Linked DNA regions of Caenorhabditis elegans. The protein of the gene in region 2 interacts with the protein of the main gene of each other region in a pairwise test. Each region holds a gene or a part of one and is shown on either strand. Other genes may lie near its edges.

Region 1 (3,753 bases), 4.8 Mb from region 2:
GTTTTTTTCTCAAATTTTCAACTTTTCCCTCTAAAAATAATATTTTCAGTCTCTGTTAATTTTGTGAATATAGCTTTACTTGTTTTTCTTCCCATTTTCATCACTCACACCATTTCCCCCGAATCCCCGTTTTTCCCCACCAGCTCCTCACTTTGATTTGTTCAATTTATTATGCACACGGGTCCCCAAAATCCCCCTAAAATTATTCCGAGATATTCTTGTACCATTTGACATGTAAATATATATATATATATACTCCATTTTATTTTCCTACTGAAAATTTGAAAATTTCCAGATTTTTATAGAATTTCTATACATAGTTGTCTTGCACCATAAAATGAAGCGATCTTGTTTATAACTTTAAAAATTATTTTTTTAAATGTGGTCCAAAACCCCTTGTTTCAGATATTTTGCTAAATTTTATAACTCGATTTTTAATAATTAATTTCTGAAAAAAAAAGTCCGAGTGCCAGCTCCTCCCACTTCTTGGCTACCATTCAAATTTGGCTTTTTGAGACAATTTAGAGAAAATTTTATTTCCGATTACTAACTGGAAGGTTTCAAAAACTTCAAAAATATGCGATAAATAATTTTATTAAAGAAAAACCGTTCGAAAACTCAAAATTTTGAAAAAAAAGCTCGAAAATCGATATTTCTTTTTTGCAATTCTAAAAGTGTTTATTCTTTTTTAGAAAATTTTCAAAAAATATCGAGAACCTAAAATTGCATTCTTGGGTTCCAACATCACGAAAGTCCACTGAAAAAAACTCCGAAGTGGACTTTGAAAATCCGAAAACTTTCTATTCGCCTCTAGACAATTCTTTTTCACGTGCAACAACTGTGACCCTTCTTTCATCGTTACACTTGTTGTCTTTTCGCTCTCTTTTCTTGAATTGTTGCACTTCTCACGTTCACCCAACAGATTTTAAATCAAAACAAAAAAGTTGGCTTTGAACAAGACTTCGAAGACTTTCAGATTATTTCAGGCTTTTTAATGATAGTAAATTTGGATTTTTGGATTTTTTTTAACTTTTTGGCTTTAAATCTTTTCAAAGATTATTTTTAAATTTTATTTTCTTTTTGAATTTTTAAATTTCTCGAGTTTTCGAACTTTTGGAAGAATTCTAAGAATCGTTGTTCTTGTCTCGGTTTTTTATGTATTTAAACCTTTTTTATTTTGTGAAAAATTCGGAGAATGCGTATTAACTAACATATTTAACGCGCAAAATATCTTACGAGATAGTAATTCTCGAACACTATAGTAATTCTTTAAATTACTACTGTAGTGTCGATTTACGGGCTCAAATAGTGAAAAAAAAAATTATTTGCGAATAGTGGGAGTTACTTTGTTTTTTCGTATTATTATCTCTTTTTTTGCTTAGTTTTAATGTTCTATCGATAAATAAATGTTTTTTAAATCGAGGCCGTATATCGACACAATCGCTACAGTAGTCATTTGAAGAATTACTGTAGTTTTTGCAACGAGATGTTTTACTCGTTGAATATGTTGCACAGTACGCAATCTTAGAATTATGTGTTTAATACTCAAACACAATAAATTAACAATTTAGGTCAAAGAAAAAAAAGAAACACTTTAAGATTACTGTACTTCTTAAAAGTACACGCCTTTTTGATGATATAATCAATATGTCACAAGGTTGAAAAATAGAAACAAAAAATTAGGAATTTAGATAACAACTAATTTGATCAGTAATTACTAGTGTTCTCAGTAATAATAATAATAATAAAGTTCACATGATTCGTCGCGCTCGTTCTTCGGTTTCCCTTTTCTCGTTTTCTCGGCGGTCTCCCCAATTTCAGTGTTCTCTAACCGTCTGCGTAATTCTCCCTCTAGCTGTCACTCAATTTCCAACAAACATGTCTTTCAATATTTTCTTCGTTTTTTCTTGCCTTATTGATTTCTTTCGAATTAAAAGTAAAATTTTAAATTAAAATACAAGTTTTGTTGCAGGATGTTGTCCGCCAAAGGTCCCCAAATGCGTGCGTTTACCCAACGTGTTGCCGCATTTTCAACGCAGGTGAGAGTTTGGATAATGGCTGAAAAATTGCAGATTTTATCGAAAAATCTTTTGTTTCAGAAAAATTAATTTCTTTTTGATTTACCGAATAATTCAATTTTTCTTTTGAAAAAAAGTAAGCGTTTTAGCTGCTTATGTGCTGAAAATCATAAAATTCAAATTTTCAGCTCCAAATCGACCCAATTCCAATCGTGTTCGTCGGAAAGGGCACAACTCGTAAGAAATTCAAAATTTCGATCGACATTTTCACAATTTTTCCACATTTCAGCTCGCCAAAACTCGCTTCTCGGCCCAAATGACAGTCAGTACCCGTTCCAGGGAGACGTCTCGTTTGCTCACAAGGTAAATTTCTGAAAATTGATTTTCCAAACAGACACCCAAAATTATCTGATTTTTTACTCCAAAATCAAATTTCATGTAAAAAATTTGAATTTTCGAAAATTTACCCATTTAAAATAATTCCAATTTAATTTTAAATTTTTTCAAAAACTCAAAATTTGCAGCCATTGAGCATCCGCCAACAAGTGGAAAACTCAAAAATCGAGCGTGTGATGGACGATACGGAGCACAATTTGATCAATTTGCTCTCCAATACAAATATCGAAGTTGACCGTACACATTTGGCTCAATTGAAGGAAGAAGCAATGGAAGAGATTCAGGCAAATGCGGCTGACGTTGAGATTGAACTTTCCGCTATTGAAGCACCAAAGTTGCTCAAAAAAGGTGAGCTGGAAAGCTGGGATTTATAGAAATTCTGAAAATGAACTTTTAAAAAATTAGTCTTTCAAAAAATCGGAAATTGAGATTACGTTCGAGTTAATATTAGTGAAAAATTGAAAAAAAAAATGCTTTGCAGAACTATATTTAGCAGGGGTGTGCGGTAAATTTGGTAAATCGACTTTTTAAAAAATTTACCGTGGTCGTCATACTCGGCAAATCGCAATATTTGTGAAGCTCAAAAAGTGAATTTAAAATTTATTTTGAATTTAAAACTCATAAATTCAAAAATCATTTTTTTTTCCAGAAATGAAATACCTATTCCCACAAATGGAGACTCAAAAGATGAACAACGTGACCGTGTTCAATCTAACTCAAAAGTCAGAATTCGACATGAAAGCATGGAGTGAAGCAATGGAAGAGGAACGTGAAAAGCTCACCGCCTCATTCATCATGTCCGCCAACGCGATTTGCTCAACTCTCCATCGTTTCGGCTATTGGGCTGATTTCATTGATCCATCTTCCGGCCGCCCGTATATGGGTGATTACACCAATCATACACTTTTCGAGACCAATGACGCCTACAAACAAATGGGCTTCAAGATTGAAGACCTCGGATGCTGCAAAGTTCTGCAACACGCATGCTGGGGATCCAACGCATTTGTGGGAACTATTTTCACTGATGCTCCTGTTGATGGGGATGCCGTCAGGGATATTTTGAAGAAGGTTACTCAGGAGGTACAGGATGTTGGAATTTCTGAAACCGAATTTTTGAAAAAAAAAAACGTAAAATTATGTTTGAAAAAATTTATTTTGATGTTCTTCCTGCTATCTAATAATGATAATCATTTTTCAGATTTCCAAAAAAAGGACGAAAATTATGTTTTTATTTCTGGGATTCTACAAAATTTCAGAATTTCCTTACATTTTGTAATTTTTGTACGATTTTCGACTTCACAAAAAATAAAACAAAGTCTTAAAAAAGGTCGCTCTTTCA
Region 2 (3,753 bases):
TAATGAACTTGAAGATCAACCGTTCCTTTTCGAATCTCACCACAGTAGAAGCAATTTTTAGGGAAGTCACTGAAACAATTTTTCGGTTTTTTTTAATTGAGCGAAAAATTCAAAAATTTTACTTTTTTTAACAAAAAAAATCACACTCGAGATTATAAATAGAGTGAAATTTTGTTCGAATTATTTAAATTTTTTCAATAAATAACATCATTACTTATGCATTTCAACGTGCCGAGCTGCATGGTAAGCGTTGAAGACTGAATGAGGACATTTAAGGCAGGCGTATCTTATTTTTCCTTTTTTGGTCTGAAATTGTGTTATAATATATTTTTAAAAGTGAAAAAAATGTCCAACCATTGTCCTAATTGTGCCTTGGACCTCAGTTGAACCGTTTAAGTGGTCCCGAAGCTCATCTTCACCTGGATAGTCCAATCTTCTCACAGCTTTTTGTATTTTTTCATGGATTACCTTTAAAAATTAAACATGTTATGTTACTTGTATCTCGGCAGGGCGCCGGTTTTTCGAATTTTTTTTCTAAAAACGCAAAAGGAAATTTTCTTTTGGATTTTTTTGTAAAATCGAAAGAAATTTATATGTTATCTCATTTGTTTCATCAACATAAACAAAAATTAATTGAAAAATTAAATTATGTGGCTTTCCGGAAATCTTTAAAAAACCCCGAACAAGGCGAAAAATATTCAGATTTTTCTTTTAAAAATCGGAAAAATTTCTCGATGACACCCTTGCAATCTTTGTTTTAAGAAAAAGGTCTCCTCACCATAGATTCTTGAGAATTTCTTTCTTTTTTCTTTTTATCATGTGTTCTCCGATGTCTCTTCTTTTCTTGATCTGTGAACGACAAGCTGAAATTTTCATAATCAATTTTATTTTAAATTTTTTGAAATAACTCACAAATTACAGCCTGGTTCATCACAAGAACTTTCATTTCGCAAATGATATCCTCTCAGATGAGCTGTCAATGTGGCATGTGTTTTATACGGACGATTACAAAGGCAGCAATAGTATCGTCCATCAGGTAAGATATTCTGTAGAATACATTTAATGAATGAGTGAGTAACTTAGTTTCTTTATTAAGCTCGAAATAATCCAAAAAGCCCGAATTTCATTACGGGACTTTAAAAATTTCACTAAAATGCTACATCACACTTTAAAATTATCTTATATGAGCTAATCTCTGATTTTGCAAACTTTTCCATGTCGCAGCGGTCGGAAATTTATTTTTATTTGAATAATGAAATAAAAATAATTGCCGATTGTTGCAATACTGAAAAGTTTGTAAAAATTAGAGATTTTAGGAAAAACTAGGCCACTTCGGAATTATGAACCGCCGTAAGATTTTTGACACATTTTTTAATGGCACCGTTTTTCGATTGGGTTTTTTGGGCCATTTTGAGTGTAATATAAACTCACAACATTATCAAACATTTCCCGCGAATTCTTTACTACCATTTTATTTTCGTAGTGCCTCCGAGAAGCACGCTCGGTAACAGCTTCAATGTCGGCTGCAACATCTTCATAAACCAAAGGTCCACTTTCAAACAAATTCGTCATTTTTTTAGGTGGGACTTCCTGTGGAGAAGGTGTATTAGGAGCTTGTGATTCTTGAGAATTCAGATAATAATATGTTTTTCCATTTTCGGAAACGATTGGAGGTGGTGGCGAAGGATCACCGGTCTCAAGTGCTTCGCTCATTTCTTTTCTGAAATTATTGGAAAATTATTTTGATCTCCTTACGTTCAGAAGGAGGAGCAAGTAAAGATATTTGCGCAGGTCACGGAATACCGTGATAATGATTTTCGATTAAAACTTTAAAAAAGAGAGAGAGAGAGAGAGAGAGAGAGAGAGAGAGAGACATTCGATGGAATTATTCTAAAAAGCTCGACCATTAGTACTGCATTGATTTACAAAGAAGGCAAAAACAATGACGCTTTTTGCGAAAACTGGAATAGGAGCGCCGCATGCGCATGTTCTTATTTAACTATTTTTAAACGGCATTATAAGCTTTGCTCTTATAGGATTCTACGCCTCATCCCGCTACGAAGCCTGGCAAATCAGATATTTTCTAGTCTACGTGTTGGTTAAATGTCTGATAGTTTATTAAGTTCATTAAAAAAGTTTAGTTAATTTACATACAAAATAAATAGTTATAACGTAACCTTCCCTCCTCTTTCCATTTGGTGGGTATATAGGGTGTGGAAATATGGGAAAACGTTCAGTCTCAATGTTTCTCATCGACATTTCCCTGTTCCTCTTGTTGGGAACGTTAATCGTTGCTTGCACAGTCAAGAAAGAGAAGATAAAGTGAGTTTATAGGAATTTCAGGAATAAAGTTCACAGGTTTTATTTCCAGAGAACGTCATAACCACAATAGAACATTGCTAAAGAGAACAGTTGGAGGAAAGAGAAAAGATACAGGACATCGGCACAGGACATCGACAATTCCACCACGGGACAAGTCGTCGTTGCACGCACCGACCGTGAAAAATGGAAACAGTTTGTCCGCAGTTGAACCCAACGGACGTATCAAAGTAAGTTTATTATTTATTATCAAAAACCCTAATTTTTTTCAGATCGGTTACCGTCTGTCACCTTCAGTCAAAAAGGGAGAAATTGTCGCTCCAAAAGCAACCGTCACTCCAGCAGGTTGGTTTTTCCAAAAAAATCTCTTTTTCCACTACTACTGAATTTTCAGTGAATACTCGTAAACCAATCAACGAAGCTATTTCGGAAGGAATTATTCTGGACCCAACTTATTTTAAAAATGGAGGAAATCTGGATTCGGTAAGGTGAAATTGAGCCAAAAAGGAAAATATTTAGAAAAATAAGAAAATAAAATTAGCAAGCACCGTCGAGTACTGTAGAAATCAGAATGTGTATGCTGGCGGTGTTTGCGGACTTTTGATGACCGTAATCAAAACTTGTTGTTTTCGAAAACGAAATTTCTTTCTCTTTTCAACTAATTTTTATGCGTTTTTCGATAATCTACTGGACTTTTCTCATTGTTTTTTAACTAAAATTTTCTGAATTTCAATCTGCCGCTTGTTTAACACCAGGGCGCTGCGAGAAACTTAACAAAAATGTAACTTTGAACGCAGTAAAGTGGTTTTTTTAGTTTTCACCTTTTTTCTTCGGAAGTTGTTCGTTTTCTTCGTTGATCTCATATTGTTAATGCGAACAAGTTTCTCATTATCAGCTATTTCTACTTTCCTGCTCCACATAGCTTTGCAAACTTCTCATTTTCTTTTATACACACTAATGCATAAACTTACGAATCTTTACAGGGCATAGTATAGTTTCCCTTCAAAACCCTTTAAATTTCCAACTTAAATCACATAATTTCGGTTAAAAGTTTAGTAGAGTTTCATATATTTTGGTTTTCTTTCCAGAAGTCGCCGAAAAACCAAAAACTTGCCGAAGAACTTCAACAATTCATTGACAATCCTGGTCTTGGTTCAAATGAGACATCCACTCTTACAGATGATAATGACGTGCCACGGGTAATTCTATTTTAATATACCGATGATATCTGAAAATCGGAGCAATTTTCTGTTTAATAGTCGCTAACTTCTAATTGTAGGTTGTCGCCGTTCCATCACAGTGTAAAATGTTTGAGACAACCAACCAACCAACCAACTCTCAATTGCTCTTGAACTCTGAATAAAATACTCTGACTCTGACTTCTGACTTAATACTCATTTCGTCGTCTTCCCAGTTTTTGCTCTCGTCGTCTTT

Evidence for each region. Proteins that work in one complex are often made in the same cells at the same time.
Region 1: the proteins of ztf-1 (region 2) and mmad-1 interact in a two-hybrid assay, tested with the Caenorhabditis elegans proteins (one large-scale study listed by BioGRID).

Annotation. Positions count from the first base shown.
Region 1 is NC_003281.10:13,547,225-13,550,977, reverse strand, and holds the start of mmad-1 (Methylmalonic aciduria and homocystinuria type D homolog, mitochondrial), read left to right. Parts: upstream 1-1,972; 5' UTR 1,973-1,973; coding exon 1,974-2,039; intron 2,040-2,206; coding exon 2,207-2,255; intron 2,256-2,307; coding exon 2,308-2,381; intron 2,382-2,542; coding exon 2,543-2,762; intron 2,763-3,063; coding exon 3,064-3,494; intron 3,495-3,753.
Region 2 is NC_003281.10:8,790,626-8,794,378, forward strand, and holds the start of ztf-1 (Heterogeneous nuclear ribonucleoprotein C homolog), read right to left. Parts: upstream 1,727-3,753; 5' UTR 1,714-1,726; coding exon 1,432-1,713; exon of another isoform or gene 1,202-1,431; intron 1,047-1,201; coding exon 913-1,046; intron 864-912; coding exon 779-863; intron 469-778; coding exon 355-468; intron 307-354; coding exon 215-306; intron 70-214; coding exon 1-69. Other genes in the region: F54F2.14 (uncharacterized protein), read left to right, coding at 954-1,036, 1,581-1,620.